Bombyx mori: one gene and its partners. The protein of the gene in region 4 purifies or fractionates together with the protein of the main gene of each other region. This does not show direct contact. Links are inferred from orthologs where the notes say so. Each region holds a gene or a part of one and is shown on either strand. Other genes may lie near its edges. The genes, in order: PHD and RING finger domain-containing protein 1, FACT complex subunit spt16, MYND-type zinc finger-containing chromatin reader ZMYND8, Ck2b, Rybp and DDB1- and CUL4-associated factor 7.

Evidence for each region.
Region 1: the proteins of Ck2b (region 4) and PHD and RING finger domain-containing protein 1 purify together in Homo sapiens (affinity purification with mass spectrometry; 3 studies listed by BioGRID and IntAct, with this or other methods). This does not show direct contact. The link is inferred for Bombyx mori from reciprocal best matches to the Homo sapiens genes CSNK2B and PHRF1.
Region 2: the proteins of Ck2b (region 4) and FACT complex subunit spt16 fractionate together in Homo sapiens (co-fractionation; 4 studies listed by BioGRID and IntAct, with this or other methods). This does not show direct contact. The link is inferred for Bombyx mori from reciprocal best matches to the Homo sapiens genes CSNK2B and SUPT16H.
Region 3: the proteins of Ck2b (region 4) and MYND-type zinc finger-containing chromatin reader ZMYND8 purify together in Homo sapiens (affinity purification with mass spectrometry; 3 studies listed by BioGRID and IntAct, with this or other methods). This does not show direct contact. The link is inferred for Bombyx mori from reciprocal best matches to the Homo sapiens genes CSNK2B and ZMYND8.
Region 5: the proteins of Ck2b (region 4) and Rybp purify together in Homo sapiens (affinity purification with mass spectrometry; 5 studies listed by BioGRID and IntAct, counting the BioPlex papers as one, with this or other methods). This does not show direct contact. The link is inferred for Bombyx mori from reciprocal best matches to the Homo sapiens genes CSNK2B and YAF2.
Region 6: the proteins of Ck2b (region 4) and DDB1- and CUL4-associated factor 7 purify together in Homo sapiens (affinity purification with mass spectrometry; 4 studies listed by BioGRID and IntAct, with this or other methods). This does not show direct contact. The link is inferred for Bombyx mori from reciprocal best matches to the Homo sapiens genes CSNK2B and DCAF7.

Annotation. Positions count from the first base shown.
Region 1 is NC_085129.1:15,713,029-15,717,010, reverse strand, and holds the start of PHD and RING finger domain-containing protein 1, read right to left. Parts: upstream 2,801-3,982; 5' UTR 2,550-2,800; coding exon 2,418-2,549; intron 2,317-2,417; coding exon 1,885-2,316; intron 735-1,884; exon of another isoform or gene 1-734.
Region 2 is NC_085116.1:13,764,485-13,767,984, reverse strand, and holds part of FACT complex subunit spt16, read right to left. Parts: intron 1,976-3,500; coding exon 1,814-1,975; intron 1,603-1,813; coding exon 1,303-1,602; intron 1,215-1,302; coding exon 799-1,214; intron 692-798; coding exon 547-691; intron 1-546. UniProt on the Homo sapiens protein: Component of the FACT complex, a general chromatin factor that acts to reorganize nucleosomes. The FACT complex is involved in multiple processes that require DNA as a template such as mRNA elongation, DNA replication and DNA repair.
Region 3 is NC_085121.1:12,333,573-12,337,072, reverse strand, and holds part of MYND-type zinc finger-containing chromatin reader ZMYND8, read right to left. Parts: intron 3,458-3,500; coding exon 3,255-3,457; intron 2,635-3,254; coding exon 2,461-2,634; intron 1,317-2,460; coding exon 1,191-1,316; intron 382-1,190; coding exon 237-381; intron 1-236. UniProt on the Homo sapiens protein: Chromatin reader that recognizes dual histone modifications such as histone H3.1 dimethylated at 'Lys-36' and histone H4 acetylated at 'Lys-16' (H3.1K36me2-H4K16ac) and histone H3 methylated at 'Lys-4' and histone H4 acetylated at 'Lys-14' (H3K4me1-H3K14ac).
Region 4 is NC_085121.1:1,778,339-1,782,619, reverse strand, and holds the start of Ck2b (casein kinase 2 beta subunit), read left to right. Parts: upstream 1-1,481; 5' UTR 1,482-1,517; exon of another isoform or gene 1,518-1,645; intron 1,646-1,767; exon of another isoform or gene 1,768-1,768; 5' UTR 1,769-1,771; coding exon 1,772-1,843; intron 1,844-1,916; coding exon 1,917-2,019; intron 2,020-2,253; coding exon 2,254-2,353; intron 2,354-4,281. UniProt on the Homo sapiens protein: Regulatory subunit of casein kinase II/CK2.
Region 5 is NC_085134.1:5,459,482-5,463,779, forward strand, and holds the start of Rybp (ring and YY1 binding protein), read right to left. Parts: upstream 2,801-4,298; 5' UTR 2,632-2,800; coding exon 2,496-2,631; intron 1-2,495. UniProt on the Homo sapiens protein: Binds to MYC and inhibits MYC-mediated transactivation. Also binds to MYCN and enhances MYCN-dependent transcriptional activation. Increases calpain 2-mediated proteolysis of YY1 in vitro.
Region 6 is NC_085118.1:1,110,545-1,114,539, reverse strand, and holds the start of DDB1- and CUL4-associated factor 7, read left to right. Parts: upstream 1-1,195; 5' UTR 1,196-1,426; intron 1,427-1,589; 5' UTR 1,590-1,610; coding exon 1,611-1,672; intron 1,673-2,087; coding exon 2,088-2,190; intron 2,191-2,989; coding exon 2,990-3,125; intron 3,126-3,643; coding exon 3,644-3,894; intron 3,895-3,995. UniProt on the Homo sapiens protein: Involved in craniofacial development. Acts upstream of the EDN1 pathway and is required for formation of the upper jaw equivalent, the palatoquadrate. The activity required for EDN1 pathway function differs between the first and second arches.

The DNA of each region.
Region 1 (3,982 bases), on a different chromosome or scaffold from region 4:
GGGTGTAATTTATAATGAGCTGCTCAATCTGAATAAAAATATCACAAGCATCGCTATTGACTTCAATTAATGTGTTTATGAGCCTTAAAGAAAAACGGCCACTACACGAACAGAGACAGGACAAAGTGATTTTGCTACATGACAATGCTCTGCCTCATGTTGCAAAACCAGTGAAAGCCTACCCAGAAACGCTTCAATGGTAAGTTCTAGCCCACCCGCGGTATTCACCTGACATAGCCCCTTCTGATTTTCACCTATTCCATCCGATGGCACATGGCTTAACTGACCAGCACTTTCATTCATATGAAGAAGCTAAAAAATGGAACAATTCTTGGATAGCCTCAAAAGACAAATCGTTTTTCTGATGCGGAATGCATATACTGCCAGAAAGATGGGAGAAAGTAGTTGCTAGCCTTTGACAATACTTTGAATGAAATCTTTTTGTTGCTTATATTAAAACAAAGCTTTTATTTTGAAAGTAAATAGCGAGAACTTATTCAAGGTCCTAATATAGTAAAGTGCAATACTACCACGTCATGTAGTATTAAGTATTAAAATACATACAATTAAATTAAATGTAGATGTGTATCTATTTATTTTTGTATTTCATTGCCCTCTGTACACTTGAATCTATCAATGTCTGTTTTTTCTATTTACTTTCTACTCATGTGTAATGTTAATAGTGGAAAGTTGCATGATTTTGTTTACATATTTTTAATCTCTATATACAAAAATGAATTGCTGTTCCGATGCTGGACCGATTTGGCTAATTTTGGTCTTGAATTATTTGTGGAGGTTTAAAAGGTAGATAAATATGAAAATGCTCGGAATTAAATAAAAATAACAATTTTGTTTTTCCTTTTGTTTGTTTTAAGTTTATTTTATACAAAAGTTTAGGTCTTTTATTTATCGATTATGGCACTATGAAGTCTGCCAGGTCAGCTAGTATATTATAAGGATGTTTTGTACTGTTGGTTCCTCAAATAAATAACTTTAAAAAAATTATTTAAATTTTGAAAATTTTATAAATTATGTGGAATTACTATAAGTGTGGAGTATTGGAAGCCCTCATAGACAAGTATCACCACCTTGCCTATTTCCTGCTGTAGAGCAATCATGGTTGGAAATGTCTGAACCATCAGCCACACTATACAATAGATTTAAACCTCATGCCACAAGGTGGGTAGTGGCATTCACATTCTGATTTATATTATCACCACATAACACTAAGTGGGCCGTAAGCTCATTTTCACTAATTTATTTAATTAAAAAGGTACTGTAAACAAGCATATTTCTACACTGAAATATTCACACATTTGCTCAATTTAATTTTGTACTTTATTCCTTATATTCTTTAATATTATGATTATTTTAAAGGAGTAAATAGAAAGACTAGCTTTAAGGTCAGCTGATGTTCAGGGGTTAGCTGCCTTAGACCACACTTGACACAAACTCTTTATTCTTAAATCAAATTGAGCAAATGTGTGAATATTTCAGTGTAGAAATATGCTTGTTTACAGTACCTTTCCATAAAGACAAACACCTTTACAAAGATACTTAGTTACATTGTTCCGTTGATGATAAGTTAAATAGCCTTATTTTCAACTATCTAAACCCAGGCACACTATAGTGGCTTTGTATGATATTAATAGTAGTATATTTAAATCACTATTTCTCAACCTTTGTGGGTTTTATTTGTTTCTACTGAACACTAATTATTTTTCTAAAATAAAATTAGTCTTGGCTACTTTTATAGTGATAACTTCAGCGTTTCAGAGATTAGACAGAATGAACTAACAGCTAAAATGAGTTTTATGTTACAAGTACAATATATACTTTAATTGGATATTACAAGCACATTTAAATTTTATAAGCATAGCTCACCTCACACACTGTTGGGTCTTCAACCACCAGTACGTCTACAGAAGGTCTCCTTTCAATAACTTTCACTTGTTCAGTGCGCAGTACACGTCCACCGGCACAAGCTCTCACTACAATAGAGTCAAATGTCAGCCGATCCACAGGACAGGTATTCACATTTTTTGACCACTCAGTAATACAATCCAGACAAAATATATGTTCACAACTTTGAGGGGTTCCTACTTCTTGATCAGTAAACCGCATAAGGCAAATGGAACATTTTTCGGAGTTGCCTTCTGAGCTGTCGGAAGCGAACCCTGAGGTCGGCCTCGGTACAGCGTCGGCGAGACATGCAGCACCCTCGCTGTCCGAATCCCGTAATTTGGGCAGAGCCCGTCCTCGACGAGTGCGCACCACCTCGCTACCGCTGCTGTCAATCTCATCGTCGCTCACTACCTGTAACACGTAAACACATCATCACTTTTCTTGTCTCTCACAAGCTTCTGCAGGTTGTGCGACTTGTTTGCCATTGTAATAAGTATGATTGGATGCATCACCCTCATTCGGTTTCGACGTGTCCCGACTGCAGTGACGCTGTCGTCGCTCTCGGACTCGGAGGATGACAGAATCGTCACTCTTTTAATTTTACGTTTAGGTCGCGGAGGCGAGTCCTCGCTGTCGTCACTCATCCTGTCTAGCCGGACGCCTTCTTTGAGTTCAGCGAACGCGACACGAAGCCACTCGCAAAGGTGTAAACGACCTTTGCGCTATTAATCCCTAGCTCCGTTTGTTTGACTTATCAAAACTCATTCGATATAATGGTCTAAGCCTTGCATAATGCTAATATTCAAAAGATTACAAGGCATTCACGTTCATAAAACTTATTTTATTTTGACAGCAAGCCGCTATCGATGGTCGTTCAGCCATGTTTCCAGAGAGTCCAGGGACTTTTTTATTTTGCAGTTCACTTTGATAGGCAAAAACGACTTATGTCATAAAACCCTATGCATAAAAATTATCATTTTGCACTGAACTAAAACTAAACTAAAATAAAACGACAGTAATTAAAGTAATACTCACAACAATGGTAGAAGTGTACAGGCATAAAGCAATTTACAAAGGAGCTGTTTTCTTGGGTCTTACGAAGACGGCCGACAAAGTTTGGCAAGCTTAGAAAGTGTACAACATGGGCGTGCTAGACAGTTTCATATTTTTCTTACGAGGATCCTCAGCTCCTCTTCGGTCTATAAAATGACATTCCGCGGTAACCTCTGACCCAGTAAGAATTTTCAGCAATGATGCAACCATTTGCTAATCCAGTAGAAACAGTCCCTCGTTACGAAAAACTTAACGGGCAGCCGTTTTGAAAGTGGTGCATAGAAGCAAATCCAAATAAAGGTACATCCGTATTCTTTCAAAGAAAGAGTTCGAACCGAAACTTCTCTCGCATCAGGTGTACAAGGCTCTCACAAGATCACATACTTCGGTCAATGAATACTGGTGGTAGGACCTCATGTGAATCCACGCGGGTAGGTATCAACACCCAGCCTATTTCTGCCTAAAAAAAATAATAATCTTCAAGACGATCTGGATCTCGAATCCAGTCATAAAATTATTATATGAATAAAATAAAAACGACACGATAACCGTCTTATCGTGGCCACCACAAGATATACTCCTAATCCAGCTCATACAAGAACCAGGCACCGTCAACGCTGTAGTCATGTCCTTACGAATTTTTATCCCATCTCATCTCATCTCATTTCATTTTATTTCACTCCATTATTTTATCATTTTTCATAAAAATAAGAATGTAAATTAAAATGAGACATGACATAAAGATCTTAGTTACCAGGTCATAAAATCCATTAAAAAAAAAACGAATTTAACAGTTCATGTAACTCGTACATCTCACTGAAAAGCTCGACGTAAGCCTTACCGCCCTTACCCCATAGCATCCCGTTAAGTTTCTCACCTGTAACTCGTACATCTCACTGAAAAGCTCGACGTAAGCCTTACCGCCCCTACCCCATAGCATCCCGCTAAGTTTCTCACCGGATCTTCTCAATATTGAAGTACTTCTCATATTTCAATCTTGAAATCTTTTATTATTACTGTTGCT
Region 2 (3,500 bases), on a different chromosome or scaffold from region 4:
CTTCACGGCGGAAATAGGCGGGGTGGTGGTACCTACCCGTGCAGACTCCCAAGAGGTCCTACCACCAGTGATTACGCAAATTATAATTTTGCGGGTTTGATTTTTATTACACGATGTTATTCCTTCACCGTGGAAGTCAATCGTGAACATTTGTTGAGTACGTATTTCATTAGAAAAATTGGTACCCTGCGGGATTCGAACACCGGTGCATCGCTACACACGAATGCACCGGACGTCTTATCCTTTAGGCCACGACGACTTTCAAAATAGTAGTATGGCTGAGACTTTGAGGAAACTATCCTCTTTTAATAGACCCAGTGTTTAGCAGAGGGTAGGGTGGCTTTTGCCTTGTAGTGGAACATAGCTGTAATAAATAAATTTAATTCAAGATTTCGTGACACCAATGCTTCTTGACACTGAAGAAAGGACTAAAATTTGTTTAAACTTACAAATAATAAAGAAACAACTACTTGTATTAAGTATAAGATTTAAAAATGTTAATTTGTCAACACACTGGTACCACAACAAAATATTTTGATACACTACCTTCCCCTCCTTATCTGAGGCATTACTGTTTGTTAAGTTCGCCAAGCCAATGTTTATGTTGAAGACCATTCCTTTTTTCGCGGTAACATTTGTTTTAGGTCCAATAATAATGGAACTTTCACGAAATTCTATACCCATAGCGAATCTGCAAAGCATAAAGAATATCAGAATAATATACATAAACACCAAGAACATCCATTGTTTTTGGAATTCAAGATTAAAACATATTGATTTATATAATAAAACTATTACCCAAAACTCTTAGTGAGATTTTCAACTAAGTTAGGTTTCTCTTTCTTGGCTAACGCTAGACCAGCTTCATAAACTGTAGATAATTTCGCTCCAGCTACAAGACTCTTCATCACCTCTTCTTCAATATTTAACAAGAAATTGTAATTACTTTGTACTTCATCAGTTGGGTTGACCAGTAATGTACGGACTATGTTCGAACAATATGATTTGTATCTAGCACCTAGTGAACATACTATGGCGCCAAAGTGTAAGTGGTTTTTATCAGATACTGCACTGAATTTCAAACTATAGTGTCCGCCTGACTGTATAATAGGAGGATAACACATGTCAACTTGACTTGTATCGACTCCTGTTACATATTTCTTATCTGAAACTGCTGTTTCCACACCTTCAGCAAGTTTTGAATGTTTGACTTTCTGAAAAGTGAATTTTTGTTATTAAAAGTATATTAATTTAAAATAATTTGATTAGAATTGATCACTTATTTGAATGTCTAATACATACCTTATCTGAATCAATAATTTCCATTATCTGATCTTTTAAGTATTTTGTGAAGACATCCACTGTGACCAGACATGCTTTTTTTATTGTAATAATTTCAGAGTCTTCTTTTGGCGCCATTAATAATGCAATCGCTGAACTGACATCGACATTTTCAAACTTCTCTCCCTTCAGAACTGCTTTCCAACTTTCACAAAATTCACCTGGATAATTGTCTTTCACGAAAATACCCAGTGTCTTGCCTGATTTTGATTTCTTTATTTCTTGGAGAAGTTTGTTGAAGTTTTCCTTGTCTTTGTCATTCTATGGAAAAAAAATTACAATCGCATGAATCATCATTGTACAAGCTCATGATACACAATCAGTTGGTAAAAATTGGTATTTGCCACAAAATTTGAAACCTGGCAGCCGCTTAATGAGAGTTTAACGCTGAATTGTGATACAAAATATATAGCTGGCTAACTTTAGGTCATAGAAACTTTGTTTGTTTTAGAAAGTGCACAAATGGACTTACTCTGTCTCTAATAAGAAGTTTTGCTGGGGGCAATTCAGTTTCATCTTTACCATTTTCTATTTGTCTCAGGAATTCAATCTTCTTCTTACTGGCTAAAAAACACATGCTATGCTCTGTTAAGACAGTGATTGTGTCAGGTAACTCATATCCAAACAGCCATGTCTAGAAAAAACAAAACAATAACTTTAATAAATATCATAAACACAAAGAGTTTTGTTATAAATTAATAAATAATAAAATAAATTAAATTGATGCCTCCAATGAACACTACTCTAATTCAAAATTTTGAAATTTTCGTTTTTCACGCATATGCTTCACTATTTAAAAGGTATTACAATTAATCATTATTGATGGGGTTCGAAGCAAGAGTAAATCAGCTAGCTACACAAAAAAACCATAAAGCAATAATAAAGATTTTATCAACTTTTTTCGTTTAAACGCTTCTCCTGTAAATCTACGAATTTGGAGTTAGCGTAGTGTTCATTGGAGGCATCGAAATGTTTTAAGACAGCACTGTATTCTAGCTCATTGACATATTGCAGGTACTGCTTATTGACTCAAGTGAAAAAAAAAGGTTGCATTAAATCCTGAAAAAGGTTCATTTTTAAAGCAAAATGCTCCTTAGCTTATTACAACAGAGACCAAATTAGTTCTGAAGTAAGCATAGTTCTAAAGAGAACTGACAAAATATAATCAACAATCAGTGTGTCATTGTTATACTACTTATCTGAGTGTCAGAAATCTTAAAAGTTTTTGTTTTTGAATTGATTTTGATATTATAGGTTAAGTAGTATTAAAAGTTTATATGCATACAGAAATCATAGGATTTTTTTTTTTCACTAAGATTCAAGAAAAAATTATACTCTGTAAAGAAAGAAGTTCATTCTGATACAGGAGTTTATGCACTTAACAATATGGATGCCATCATCCTTCTTGATGTAATTGGAAAATCAATTCTATTGTATAATAGATGTCCCACTATTTACATCAGAATGAATGATTGCCTCAAATAGGCAGAATAGTGGTACTTACCGACAGAGGCTCACAATATCCTATAAATATTTTTTGATATTAATCTTGAGATTAAGAGAGAGAAAGAGAGAGACACTTGACTAATTATATCTGACTAATTAATCAAAAGACACCACCTCAGGCTAATACTATTACCTCAAGCATCCTCATCTACACATAATAGTAGTAATCCAAGATTTTTCCTAATTGAACCATTTGCTTCATATACATGAAACTTAAACCAACCATACCAACCAACCAACCATAATGTGTCATTTGACAGGAAATAAATTCTAAGCTGAATAAAGTGATTACTGAAATGTCTGTCACTCATTTCACTCATTCTAATATATACAACCAAGCCACTGATAATACCCAAGGACTCTTTCCAGACCTAATACGAAAACAAATAAATTTTCTACAAGAGTATAATTTATAAGTATTAAAATGAAATTAAAAACGGGATAAACTTTTAGATAATGACGGTTGAATATAAAATATTATGTTGTAAAAGGCCAATTGTCATTAACATGTGTAGTAAACCTTTGGGTTCAATTAGAACCAACAGCAAAAATTATTAGGTAGTGGGACAATTATTTAAATTTGACACTAGAACCTTCTTGAACCACACTAGTTGTTGACGGAATGCAGGTAAGGAAGTTAGAGTAGGCCTGGC
Region 3 (3,500 bases), about 11 Mb from region 4:
GTGCACAATGTAAAAGTTCCAAATGGGTCCGTGGCCCATTATGGCATGTTTAGTGTTAAATCAAACCCACATTCTAAATATTATTTATAAGTAGAATTAAAACATTTCATTATCATTTTATTTGGTAGCTACCAGTTTGGTGTTTCAAACATTTTTAGTAACATTTCCTAATATATTTTGTAACAAAAAAGAACATATTACAAAAAATACACATTAGAAACTTTATGTTTGTTTACCAAAGTTATGTTTGATTTCGTCCAATCTCTGCTGGTGCCTCCACTTGGTCTGTTCGAGCTGCAGCTTCAGGGACGTGACCTGCGTCGATGGATCGTCGAGATTATCCAGCGAATCCTCCAGTAGCGTGCGGAAGAAATCGGCTAGCTGCAACAAATGTCGTAACACTGAGTAACTATTCTACCTAAATTTAAGGTACATTCTTTATGATTTAATGTAACAAGATAAAATTAGTTCCAAACGAGTAACTGTGCAGCGATTATATGTACATTTATATAAAAATTTCAATGTGTAGGTTGGTTTGTTTTTGTTTCGCAATTGAGGGTATTTTTATTTTTATATAGTACAAGCCGTACTCGGCCGCTTCGCTGGGCATTTAAAATTAACATTATTATTTATGGTCATTATTCTTAGGGAGTCCAACGCTCATATATCAATATCCATTAAGTACATGTATTTTCTACATGGATATCAAGTTTCAAGTCAATCGGATGCATGGTTCAGTAGTTATAACGGAACATCCGTAAAAACTACTGTAGATTTATATATTAGTATAGATTTTATGAACACTTGACAGGATTGTTTCGATCCCAGAAAAAACAATAGATGAGTCGACTATTATCAAAGCCGGCAATGTCACTTTTGGACAATTATTGGTAAATCAGAAATCGAATTATTGACTTTGTATTCCATTGGTAGTCACAAAACTCTTCTGAACGACATCTTAGATAAATAACAGGTTAAGTTAATACTTTATTTAATGCAAGTTTTGAACCGTATTCTTTGAAGGAGACGATTATATTCAAATCAATCTGTATTGACATATCAATAACATTTTTTTGTCCAAATGCACAGATTGCCACCTTTGATAATAGACGACTCAGATGTAACAGTGGGTCATATTTTTATTGAAACGAAAATATAATATTACGAATTTATAAGTATTTCGAATTTACCTTGATGGCATTCTGATTGAGTTTAGCCGTTAGAGGACCGACGGTAGATGGTGCTGGTACAATACCAATTGGGAAGTTGGGATCTAGTGGATTTTGTATCGGCGGCCGCTGCTGTAACCTCGGGAGCTAGATGAAAAGTAAGACATGAACGATGTTATTGACAGTCTGATTTAACGCATAAGATATTTACTATCCAAAAATACGTAAATCGAGTTAACGTCGCTTACGTTTGACAAAAGAGTTACGATAACTCGTCATGATGACTATTAAATGTCTAGGGCAAGTCAAATAATTGTAAGCCAGCGTCAAAAAAGTCAAATCCAAACGATCGGTATTTATTTTATTGCTCTAGTGGAGCAGTTATTTATATATTATTATTATTATTTAAATATTTTCGGTAGGCAGCGGCTTGACTCTGCCCCTGGCATTGCTGAAGTCCATGGGCGACGGTAACCACTCACCATCAGGTGTGCCGTATGCTCGTCTGCCAACAAGGGCAACAAAAATATATATATATTTTCAATAAAAGCCACAGCGTAAACGTCTTAGCTGGTTTTGAGGCACAAGCTTCGCTATTGTACCAATTACCCGAGTGAGCCAATAATACTCTCTAATATTTTTCTACAGTTGTGTTTATCGAGTATCAAAGCCCATAGATATCATAACATGAAAGACCCACATTGGGACATAAAGTCGAAGTCGCTCTTCATAAAGTCTAATGACTGTTTCACGACAGCGGTGGTATGCAATATTGTAAATAATGTCGAAATTAAATGAACTAGTGGTCCCCCGGTAGTCAGAATTCGACTATAATTAAGTGAAATTATAAGTTTGTACACTATTATGATTCTATTGTCCAAGATTCAAACTTCTATAATTTATAATTCTATATTCTATTTCTTTCTCTTCTATATTATATTCTACATTAATATAATCTATATAACTTCTTTAATCACAGATTTCGCCGACACTACATTTTAGACAAATATTAATAAAGACGAACAATAATTTTAATTTATTCTCAAATTGACCAGACTATAAGAAAAGTTTGACAATAAACAAATACTTAGTATGCATGCGTGTGTGTGTAATTTTTTTTTAATGTATTATTTACGCATAGTTTTAAAAAGTTAACATGCTGCACTCCTCTATATTCTACATAAGTATGGGAAATTTTATACTCCTCCGTCCGTGCAATTTTCGTAAAAAGGGGTACAAAGTTTTTGTTTCACGTATTAATATATAGATAGATTACAAAATGGCAACTCACTTCTGTGGGAGTGTTTGTGACGACAGAGTCTCCGGGCCGGCTCGGCGGTGCAGCGGCAAGGGGCGCGGGGCAGGCGGGGGTCGCAGGGGCGGGTGACACGACGGCGGCCGGCACCACGGTCGCCGCTTGACCGAGCCTTTCCGGAACACCGTTCACTAGCGGCGATGTGTTCGACTGTGTGATAATCAATGTACTACTTAGTTTCATAATTACTACTACCACTTAGTTTAATTAAAATAATTAAATAAAAATGAGGTGTACTTTTTACTAGTGGTAAGACCTCTTGTGAGTCCGCGCGGGTAGGTACTACCACCCTACCGGTTCGAAGGGTGTTGCAGCCGTTGTAACTATACTGAGACCTTAGAATTTTTATCTCAAGGTGGGTGGCGCATTTACGTTGTATATGTCTATGGGCTCCAATAACCACTTAACACCATGTGGGCTGTGAGCTTGTCCACCCATCTAAGCAATAAAAATAAATAAATAAAACCCTAGAATATATTTTTATAAATTTATCTCTTACAAATTTTTTAACTAGGCCAACAAGTATTTAAATATTCGTGCTTTTAAAAAAATACAAATCACTAGGGGCGTTTTCGTGATTGACCCAATTTAAAAATTTACCCATATTTAATTAAGTTGTTTTTCACATACATTCCTATATTGTGCTAACTACCGTCAAATATTATATATGGGCTACTTTGAATTTTACGATTGGAACATCCTATATGTTCGTCAGGAGCATTTCGCTCGAGTTACCTTATAGAAAATTAGTATGTCCCTTATGTGCTTACATCGATAGCTCCGACGGACATCACAGGTTGTAAACTAAACATCCACTGTCCATTGACGGAAGTCATGAGGGGCACCGTGTGGACGGTGGTCGGCACTTGCCCAACTGTGGGCGCCAACTGTACTGGGGTTGTGACCGCGGTGCTGGCCGACGTCAGCGTAGGCGGCAACATCTGTGTTGTCACTGTATTTACACCATTGTTTCCTGTCAAAAAGAACGTTAATTTTTATTATGATAGGATTAATTT
Region 4 (4,281 bases):
TTGGGAGTCCGCACGGGTAGGTACCACCACCCCGCCTATTTCTGCCGTGAAGCAGTAATGCGTTTCGGCTTGAAGGGTGGGGCAGCCGTTGTCACTATACTGAGACCTTAGAACTTATATCTTAAGGTGGGTGGCGCATTTACGTTGTCGATGTCTATGGGCTCCAGTAACCACTTAACACCAGGTGGGCTGTAAGCACGTCCACCCATCTAAAAAAAAAAAACTAACACTACGCGATCGGCCACATTTCGTTCGTCAGAAAATACGTGACGTCTGCTGGCCCTAGGATCTTACTCTACACACTCGTCCTCGACCTGTCTCGTGGTGTTTCGACGACCGTGTACAGCTGGCGTTTTCCTCATATTGAAACGCATTTTTTTTTCCTACCTAAGCGGATAGCCTTGATAGGCTATTTCAGCGTAACTATAATTAGTAGGTGAGCTCATGGGGATCAAACCTGACGACGTTGCTAACACGAACCCTAGCAAGAGCCGTGCTTCGCAAAATCTACCACCGGATCGGAAACGCGACCCACTGAGAAGATCCGGCGAGAAACTCAGTAGGCTGTGTCTGTGGGTTAACTTACTCGAGCCCTTCGTCGCAAGTGACGGGTTCGACGAGAACGATGACCGGTGAAATGCATGACATTCACGGCAGAATAAACACGGTACAGCTCGTTCTCTGCAGGTGGACGATACAAGCATAGATAATATACTAATTTAAGACCTCAAGCAGCACCTGCACAGCTATGTCGAGGTTGATAACAATACTATTACCCAGTTGACCATTCCAGCGGAGCGCATTTAATTAAGTATGTTCCATTTTTTTATTATTGTAGCACTGCTATAGAATTGTTATCCCCGAATTTGAACTTTTGGAATAATCATGTACCGAAAATAAATAGTCGCACGGTGGAAACGGATTCTTTCCTACACAGACGTCACTATTAAATGGTAGCCTACGACGAAACAAAACGCTAGGAAAGTTTTATTCTTCATTAAAATTTATTACAATATTAATATTTAACATAGGAGTTTAACAGTAACACATTACTGGAATTTTTACTAGAACCTCAGTGATTACTTAAGTGCAGCTCTTTTGTGCCATTTCTGCAACGTCTACAAGTTAGTTTTAAACTGTCACAAATATTAAACTGTTACATACCTCCATTAATATCAAACATCAATAAATAAAATATTGCAGTTCACGGGATTCGGTCCTTTTACACTTCTATGAAAAAAGGTCATACACCACGAAATTTTCATATTACTTAATCATATAGCAGCTTTTACTTACTATATAGTATATAGATGTGAAACACCGACCATTCGAGGAAAAAATTTGACTGTGGACATGAAAATATAGAGATTAATATTTTTCTCAGATCATAGACTAGAGCATCGACAAAATCATTCTATTCATATTCCGTACGCACACACTGAAATTTGCAATTTCTCTCTCCCTCTTTCCAAGAGGTGTATCCTCCCGTCAAGCGTGGCTAATCAAGGCACGAAAAGGTGAGGTTTGTCGTCATTTTATCTCAATATTCCATGATTACTGCGAAAAAAAACACATTAAATCTTTGCCAAATTCGTTAATTTACTGTGAAATTGTGAAAAACAGCTTTGAAGACATAAAATAACAGGTGATAACATAGGAATGCATAAAATTTGTTGTAACAGCAACGTGTGGCGGGTCTGAAGTTTTGATTGTATTTATGTGATTCTTTCGTCCCACATACCTAATTTAATATGATTGTTTTATTAGAAAAATGAGCAGCTCCGAGGAGGTATCCTGGATCGCTTGGTTTTGCACGCTTCGAGGCAATGAGTTTTTCTGTGAGGTGAGTCTCGACTATTCGATCGCTGTAATAAAATGTTACCTTATTGATCGTCATAATATTATATCTTGTGCAGGTTGACGAAGACTACATAAATGATAAATTTAATCTAACCGGCTTAAATGAGCAAGTTCCACATTATAGAGAGGCGCTGGACATGATTCTGGATCTGGAGCCAGGTGATCAGTTAACAATAATTTTCCTTCTCAACTTAATTGTAAAGTACTATTGAAAATCAAATATAAAATGAAAGTTGCAGACATTTTGTTGCATGCCATTATTTAAATAGATTTCTCTAAAACAAAGAACTGTATGTTTCTACATGATTCTCATTTATGAAATTCTGCATTCATCAGAATCATCATAAATGAGAATGTTGTATTGTAAATGTTCATTAAATCTAAATGTTTCAGATGATGACATTGAAGACAATCCAAATGAATCTGATCTGGTGGAACAAGCATCGGAGATACTATATGGATTGATACATGCCCGGTACATATTGACCAATAGGTGAGTTGCATTACATTGTATGTTAATTATTGTCTTTAATACTTTTAATGTAGTATGATAAAACAAATTATAAAAAAAATTAAGTGCATCAATGATAAATAATAGTAATGAGTACTCAAAAGGGGTCTTTACTAAATATTTAAATATTTTTTTTTATATCCCAAGATAATAACTTAACTTAAGCTACACTACATTTCCAATGCCACAGTCATATAACCGACTAGGGTTATTGTTGTCCCCACACAACGTGGTCTCGCCTTGTCGTGGCGGTGGGGCTTAAGCGTGCACCCCGATACCGTGGAGCAGCGTTGTCTGCACAGGGGTGGCGTGAACTAAGAAGACTGCACACCGTGTTCCCTTTTCCCACCTTTGCTAAGCAAAGGGTGCGTGAAGAGCGAAGAGGGCTCCCTTCTGGAGCCTCTTGTATGCTAGGCCATGTCCCCGGCGGTTCTCTGGCTGTTAAAGGGGAAGGCCCTCCAGAGGGGGGTACCGGTACGCCGGCGTGGCCACAACGTGGTCAGACGTGTGGGTCTGTCAGTAATGGTAGACCCACGTGGATGAGAAGTGAACCGGAGGGCACTCCCTTCCGGTCGCTGGTCGTCATGTCCCCGGCTGCCTCTTGGTGGCTACAGGGGAAGGCCCTCCAGAGGGGGGTACCGGTTTACCGGCGTGGCTTCGTAGAAGCATACCGTAATCCCTACCGAGTAGGAGGCGGGGGCCGCTGCCTAGCAGGGGCCGCGAGGATGCGAACCTCTATAAAAAATGCCCTAATCTTAAGCTTGTGACGTGTCCGGTGATGAGATGAGTGGCTGGAGGGAGTCCAGTCGTGAGGACCGTCCCAGGGGACCGACCCCTGGTTAAATAAAAAGGAACAAATATAATGATGGCAAACTTAAAACAAAAATTACCCCAGGAGGGTACCACCTTAGGTGGAGAATCCCTCCGTGCTTTCACCTCGGTGGGAGCACGCTGCCCCGCGTATTCTGGGGGGGGCAAAGAATGCCATGATGAAGGGGGCTGTGCGACGGGCAGCGGAAAACCCGTCGAACCGAGGTGTGCCAGCGCTGGCTCGACGCGTTCTGCGCTCGTCAGCGACGGCGAAACAGTTGATCCGAAAGGGACAGCCGCCAAGAAGATCAGGCGGAAGAGGAAATCCTGGCGAGTTTCCTCTCGTGAGGGGGTAGGGGAGCCAGCATCGTCCTCTGGTGCGGATGCCCCGCCGGAGAAAGTGCTGGTAGTCTCCGATGCGGCATCTGCTGCAGAGGAGATGCCGCCCCCTAAAGGAAGACCCGCCCGTAGAAGGGGCGCGCCGTCACCGGCGCCATCATCAGTGTCGATGTCTGTCGCCTCACTGGACGGGCAGACGACGGAGGAGGAAGAGGGTGGCCTTCAGGACCCTGCCTTGGTCATAGACAGGGCCATGAAGACCATCAAAACCTATGCGGCCAACGGCACCAAGACCAAAGCCGCTGGCCGTAAACTGCGAGAAGTGGTCTCGCAAGTCTCGAAGGTTCTGCCTTCGGTTGCTTCTGCCAATGACCAGGTAGTGCAGCTGAGGGCGGAGAATTCGAGGCTTCGAGCACAGCTTCAAGCACAGCAGCAGCCCAATGATGGCGCAGCGACGCCTTGGGTCGCTGGAGCCCCTCGAGGTCCCCGTCCCCCGGCGCTGACTGGCGACCGATGGCCTGTGCTGCCGCCACCGCGTGTGGCACAGCAGAGGCCGCGTCTCCCGTCGCCGCGCTCTAGGGAGACGACCGCTGCCGAGCGACAGCAAGCACTCGCGGGGCCACGGATGTTGGCTCCGCTACAACCAACAAACTTCAGCCTGGAAGAGGTCATCAGCCGCACCATCCAGGCTGTAATAGAAAGGCTGGGCGGCAGGTTGGCGGCTCTCGAGGCGAAAGTCCCTACCTCGGCTGACGCTAGGC
Region 5 (4,298 bases), on a different chromosome or scaffold from region 4:
CAGTTACCGTGGTAATCACGTACGAGTCAACAAGAGTCGTCGAGAGTCAGTAGGACTATGTTTACGATTAGGAATTTCAAAATTTCCAAAATAATTTAATTGAAAAAAAAAATTTTTTTTTATTGCTTAGATGGGTGGACGAACTCACCATCCACCTAATGTTAAGTGATTATCGGAGCCCATAGATATTTACAACGTAAATGCGCCACCCACCTTGAGATATGAGTTCTAAGGTCTCAGTATAATTACAATGGCTGCCGCACTATACAAACCGAAACGCATTACTGCTTCACGGCAGAAATAGGCAGGGTGGTGGTACCTACCCGTGCGGACTCACAAGAGGTCCTACTACTTACCAGTAAATAGCTCATTATTCAAACCTCACTTGTCTATTACCATAAAAACTATGAAATATTCGGACCCATTGCAAAAATTACCTCACTCAGCTACCTTCGTACCAAAACAAACTAATTCCTTAACGCCAGATTTAAAAAAAACAATTTTCCAAATGGTCTCTCATTTTTCAATTAATTTTCTTCAGTTTGTTTCAAGAGACCACTATAACATGTCCTTCTTCAAACAAGTATTTGAAAAGTGTCCTCAGAAGTACAAGTTACTTTAATTGCACATTTGACATTACAGAATTCTGTGAGCAACACAGTAACCATTTACCATCAGTTGTCCTGTAAGAATGTGCCAATAATGAAAATGGGTAGAAAGAATAAATTAATCTTATATATGAGTCGACTATTATCAAAGCCGGCAATCTGACTTTTGGACAATGATTGGTAAATCAGAAAAACGAATTATTGACTTTGTATTCCATTGGCAGTCACAAAACTCTTCGGAACGACATCTTAGATAAATAACAGGTTAACTATTAACCTTTATTTAATGCAGGTTTTGAACCGTATTCTTTGAAGGAGACGATTATATTCAAATCAATCTGTATTGACATACCAATAAAAATTTTTGTCCAAATGCACAGATTGCCACCTTTGATAATAGACGATTCATATACAGTGTTATAAGTTTATAAACCAACATGCTGGAAATTCCCATGTTATTGACAATATTTATCGATAGTGACACACATTGATAGGGCAATCCTTGTAGTAAACATACACAGAAAGTATATCTTATACATACAAGAAACATGTATATTATGATAGAAATAAACAAGTGGTGGCAATGAGCAGCCTTATCACTTCTATATAATAAGAGATAATTTATATAGGTTAGTAAATATATGTTTCCAAAATAGAACATCAGTTGTTTTCCAGAGAGCATATCGACGCTTGAAAGGCAAACATGACTAAGTGACAATGTGTGAACTGTACAGTAGACTAATTGAAAGTTGGAATACCTGAAAACAAAATTTATTTTAACGAATCTAGCTGTAGTAGAATCTAGCTAGTAGCTGTAGGATTGAAATAGGTTTTAATAGACCTAGAAATATATATTTTGTTATGTACAAATCAGTTATTGTCGCTTAGTCACTTTCGCCTTTCAAGCGTCAATATGTATGTACATTTTTTTTTTTTTCTGGACTATGCAATAATATTGAGATCACAACATGAATGTCCTCGCTCATTAAGTACTTATTTGAATAACGGTAAGCTCTTCATACCATAACAAATGAGTGCTTTGCCAACAAAATTAGTATAATACTGATGTCTAACATCATACACTTAAAGTTATGCAAAATGCCAAATATGATGGAATATTTTAATAGCAGTTATGTATATATGGTGGTTCATGTCCATCTCATGGTATACTCAAGATTGCTTGTTGTAATTAGAAACAGCCATTATACTTTTCAGTTAAGATTTTTTTTTTGTCCAGTGTTATGTACTATTTTGATATACAAAAACACAAACCTTTCTACTTTGTATGTACAGAAAACGAAAAAATCTAAGTCAGGTCATCTAGGTAATTCGTGTTTGATGCTTTGCCTATTTTGATACAAGAACATTATAGGAAACCGTCTTGAAGGTCTACTAGAGAAGCAGCCGGTAGAAAAATGCACCGCTATAGTGAAGTTTTTGGTTACCAATTTAAAAAAAAAATTATATTCTACTACTTACTGACTTCGGTGTAGAAATACTATGATTACTTCTTTCCGTACTTTTATTGCGGAACTTTAACTCGTAATCAATGTTTGATACGTCGAGATTTTATTCTTATATGAATCTCATACTTATTCGCTCTTATTCGTAACGTCGCCCTAGACTAATCAATAATTTTCGTCCTTGGTTTAGGTTTTAGGTTAGAATTTGAATACGTAATGTGAATGCCCTTTTATACTTAAATGTCTGCAGTTCTGAGCGTTTTATTATATGAAAAGGTTACGTAGTTAATTAATAAAAAGCTCATTGAAACAATCATCGTGTTAAGATACGTGGCTCTGTGTGCGTGAATTAGATCATTTAGGTCAAATTCGTGTGCAGAATTTACATATATGAAAAATATTGGCGTTCAGTTACAGTATTTACCTTTTCTAACGTCACACATGGAACATTTGAAAGCTTCCGCGTTATTCCTGTACGTGCAAACACTACAATCCCAGTAGTTTTCTTCCAGCACTTTTGATGGCCTTTTGGCTCTTCTAATGGCATTTTTCTTGTCCATTTTAATGCATACACGCAACTAAACGTAGCTAAGACACGTCTATCATGATATTTTTGATTGAAAACTATTATTTCTAATGCACAATTGTGAATTAATGCGTCGGGAAATCATTATTTTTGTTTTACTGTGCACAAAGATTGTACACTTTTACGCCATGACAGCCGTCAATGTTACGTCGGTTAAACAGCGTGAAGGCGCCACATTCTTCTGAGCTGTTTTAGCTACAAAATAGCAATACTAGATGGCGTTATTCATGAATTAAGATTTATAAATTTTTCTTAGAATAAAATTCAAACATAATAATAAACAGCGAATAAAGTACATAAGTATATTGTTGGTTGGGCTTAATAGAAGACCGAATGCGGATATGGTCATTTTATTATTGGTCCCAAAATTCAAAAGGGCTATTTTGCGGCAAAGACAGGCAGAATGGTGGTGAACTAGTTGATAAAATTAAATAATAACGCAAACGTTACCATAATAATATTATTCTTTCCGTGGATTGTTGAGGCGGGAGGTGGATCTTCTTAGTATAAGGTCTATGAACCTAGTCTTATCTAGTCATTCATTACTTTGGAACCAAAAAGAATTAGCTGATAGCACAAGTCTTTGACCAGCCACAAAAGGGCCGCTACATTAAGTAAAGGTCAAGAACTCCAAACGTTTTAAAATTCGAAATATCTATTCCAAATGACACACCAACACTAAACCACTGAACCCAAATATCAGTCAACAAAATTGTGTACATTTTTAAATAGGTACCGATACTTAAACGCAGAAATTCAATTATGTGTCTTATACTGGTTATTTTAAAGCTTAAAATCGTTTAAACAAAAACTATGAAGCACGGTAAGCCTTTGAGAAATATTTCTATGCCGTTTCTTAGAAAACGACCCCTTTTTTGTGACGGCGATAGAAATAAAATCTCTACCTGAGTTTTACGAAAGAAGTCCTTTCATTTTTTTCTACTTGAAGCGAAATACGCGTGGTTCAAAAATCTTGGATCTTTTCACGAAAATTATCAATTTAAAACGAACGTTTAATTCTAACTTTGAATTTATTGTTTTTTTTTTTTCTAATACGAATCTAATTTCAGCCTGGCTTTCCTTGACCAATAAATATTCCTTTTTACGAAAATTGCGCGGACGGAGGCGTTGAAAATTTCCACACTTAAAGAGAATATAGAGAAGTGCACAATGCTAATATTTTTTTTAAATAATGCATAAAATATACATTAATTAAATCAATAAGGAAAACATTACACACACTACATACCATGTATTTAACGCACACACGCATGCATACTATTTATTATCAAGCTTTTGTTCTTGACGTCTGTTGTCAAATTGAGAATAGATTAAACATTGTTTGTCTTTGTTAATATTTTTTTTAGTGTAGTCTTGGCGAAATTTGTGATGATAGAAGGATAAAATACAATTATAATAGTGTACAAACTTACAATTCCAATTAATTATAGTCGAATTTCGACTACTGCGGGACCTCTAGTACAATTAAATAAATATAAAATAGTTTGTATCTCAGGAATGTGGGCAAGATAGGATCATAATAACAAATTACATTATTATATTTGCAACGTTTCGGTCTTTTATTAGACCTTCATCAGACATCATAATATGAATTCCAACAATCACTATCCTACACTGCAC
Region 6 (3,995 bases), on a different chromosome or scaffold from region 4:
TTTTAGTTTATTACAGATTTAGGCTATAAAAAATTAATTGGGGCCTTCGTTTTCATTTTTGAAGATTGTTATCATGTAATCACGTTCCGTTTTCTATTGCATCTGGTTTCTAGTTACCACGAAATGGGGAACACACAACTCAGGCGAGCAGACAGACGCTCTTCGAAACGTCATGGCATTCGAACAAAGCGCCTAATAAAAAGTTTTACATTGCCAGTGTACTTTATTGCTATTAATTAAATTCGGGCACTTTAAGTATCTATAATAATCTTTAACATAGTTATGAGTTAAAAAGTTATACAAACTAATAAGTCTGTCCTTAATTTTTAATTAAGAAACTGAGACTGCCCAGGTATCTAGGCAATAAAAAAATATTATACACAATAATAGAAAACGTAAGAAATTTAGAACCTTTTTACCTACGATATCAGATCAGGAATATGGAAATTCGCAGGAAAACCGTAATAACTGACATAGCCGAAGGAATTGTGAGATTGAAGTGGGCAGAGCATTGCTCGTAGAACAGATGGCCACTATGGCTGAAACGCTTTCGAGTGGCGACTGTGTAAAGATGTAGCTTGGGTGGAGCTCCCACAAGGCAGACCAGCTACCTGTTAAATATAGCGGGAATCCGCCGAATGCAGACAGTGTAGGACCGGTCGTTGTGTCGAGGCTTTGGGGGGGCCTTTGTTCAACAGTGGACATCTGTGGATATTGTCGTTTATTTAACTTTCTATACATAGCCTGGTTTTACTACTCATTCAGTTTCGAATAGGTAGCTTACTCATTATTGAATTTTTACCAGGCATATGTCTTCAAATCCAATTTCGTCTTATTGCAGCCAATTTAATTTATTTTTAAATTATTTCATTTTCATTCATAAAATAATTTTCATTACACTTTTTTAACAACTAACAGAGATTCGACATATACTAAAGTAGGGACCCGCCCTTGCTTCAGAAACTGTAATTGATTATTGATTTCTCCACTATTTAATGGATGTTATTATACATATAAACCTTCCTCTTCAATCTCTATCTATTAAAAAAAGCGCATCAAAATCCGTTGCGTAGTTTTAAAGATTTAAGTATACATAGGGATATAGGGACAGAGAAAGCGACTTTGTTTTATACTATGTAGTGATGAGGTTTACTCGCAGATGCTAAATTCCCGTTGCCTAGTCAAAAAACGAAACGAAAAAAAATTAAAATGTCAGATTGTCCTACTTGCCAGTTGTCAAATTTTGTAAAAATAATGCTTCATGCTTGTTTTCTCCACACAAAACTAAGTTTTTAGTTAATTTCCAATTATAAAATACATTAATTGAAGGTACAGAAGCTCATGGACAGTTCAATATTTAAATAGGTATATTTAAATCAAACATAACAAAGCCGCTTGGTGGCCATTCTGTGATATTACGGCAAAGGTACATAAAATATATATTTTTTGTAAATTTAAAACCATATGTAAAAATCTAAAAAATATAACTTGAAAGGTATGAAAACTTACGTACTTGAAAGACAAAAAAAATAAAAAAGTCACTATTCATTAAAATTTCATATAAATATCATTTTGATTTGTGTTTTCAGAAACATTAAACATTATCAGTGATGTCGATGCCACACAGCAGTTCGAGTACCAGTTCAGGCACGAAACGTAAAGAAATATACAAGTAAGTAACGTTACAACACAATATGAACTATAAATAACAGATTGGAAATAATTGACAGTATAAAATACAGAGTTGACCCAATTTTGAGATTGCTAATTATAATTAGGTATAGCGTGTTATTTATTTCTGTACCCATTCCTATGTTTCGAAACATTTGTAATACAATCAAGCAGGCATTATGGGACTTACTAATTTAATGCTTTAGATGTTTTGAAATATACAGATAATCCTTTCACAATTCCCGAAAAGAACTAAAGTGATGTTAACAAATTGCAAAAACAGCCTTATCTTGATAATTACGTACGAAATTTGAGTTGTTCATACAGTTAGGTTAAATTCTCATAAACGAAGTTGTGATAAAAAAAAAACACTATAAGCTAGACAGCTGCATTTCTATGTCACACATCTTTTACAGATACCAAGCGCCATGGCCATTATACTCAATGAATTGGTCTGTCAGACCTGACAAGAGATTCAGGTTAGCCCTGGGCAGTTTTGTTGAGGAATACAACAATAAAGTAAGCTTTTACAGAGCAGTTATTATATTAATTTAGTAATTTACAAAACATACCAACAGGATTAAGTAAATACAGTATAAAGGCCCAGATAATGAATCATGCAAAGCTAATGCAATTTTAGGGAAGTCAATTTGTCAAAAATTTCCCACTCATTGAATTATAAAAGATAGAGGTGTGTGCCTTATAATCTATAAATGCATAATATTACCAAAGAAAATACACAATAAATTACATATTTTTGTTGTTGTTCATTTTTCAGTAGTTGACAGAATTGGTAGGAGCACTTAGTTTGTGGAGGCTGTTCTTATAGACCAAGTAGACAAATACAGCAAGAAAAAAAAAATTCTAAGTAATTATTGGTGCATAATATTACTTACTTAATTCCACCATTAAATTAGTAAAAACTCAACTACATACTACTAATTAGTTAATTGTTTAGCATAATATACAAACATATAGTAAGTAAACCAGGAGTTCCCAAGATATATAACCCACTTAGACACACAATAACTTGACCGCAAAGGTTTTAATTGGTGAGTATGTTGTATGAATAGGAAAAGAACTAGGGATAGGGTTTTTTAAATAATTTGGGTATGGGGTTTTGAGGTATCAGTTCATTTTAAAAAGGGGTCTGCCAAAAATTGTTTTATATTACCTAATATAAATGAATTTATTAGTTTTCACTACATTGAAGGATTTTTAGTGAAAACTAATATATTAATGGTTTCATTTAACACACATACTGTATTGTAGCATTCCTTGTGCATGACATAAGCTTAATAAAACTCTTAAATCCTAGGTACAAATAATTTCCCTTGATGAAGACACAAGTGAGTTCACTGCAAAAAGTACCTTTGATCACCCGTACCCGACCACCAAGATTATGTGGATACCTGATAGCAAGGGGGTGTATCCAGACTTGTTGGCAACTAGCGGTAAGACTTCGGTAGCAGTTTGTTAGCACTAAGATTACCATATTTAATATGGAGATAATGAGGCTTGAATTTACTTTTACACTGCTACATAGACAAAAACATATACTCCCAAAAATAATGCTTACAATATCATCTCTCTCTAGAGAAACAGTATTCATGATAGTCTTTGAGCTCCATAAACCACTGAATTGTACTTAACTGAGCCTGTCTATCTCCTTTGTCGTCATATCACTCTTGTCAGAGCGGTTGTGGTCGTCATTCAGCATCATTGCTGAGGGCAGATGTTATGCGCCTCACAAGCAATCGCTACTCCTCCCGGTTTGTGGTGAGCCTGGTACACTCATGCAAACAATAATAATCAATCTACATAAATAAAAATAAGTGATACCCTATGAGTACAATATGAATGATTGTGATGTTAATAGAGGCAACTTTCGTTGACATAAACAGTTTTGATAAATAATCAAATTCAAGTAAAACTATTCAATAAAATTTCACAATGGTGCCTTATGTTGCAGGTGATTATCTACGCATATGGCGTGCCGGAGAGCCGTACACATTATTCGAATGTGTCCTAAATAATAATAAGAATTCTGACTTCTGTGCTCCTCTTACATCCTTTGATTGGAACGAAGTGGATCCTAACCTCATTGGCACCAGTAGTATTGACACGACCTGCACCATCTGGGGCTTGGAGACTGGACAGGTCTTGGGCAGGGTCAATGAAGTGTCTGGGCACGTGAAGACTCAGTTGATCGCTCATGATAAGGTTTGTGATTTTTATTTAATAGAAGATCTTGTTAATTCATTTGTGTCCAAAATTTATGTTAATGATTATCTGAAGATTATTGGTGTCTTCAAAAAATTTTC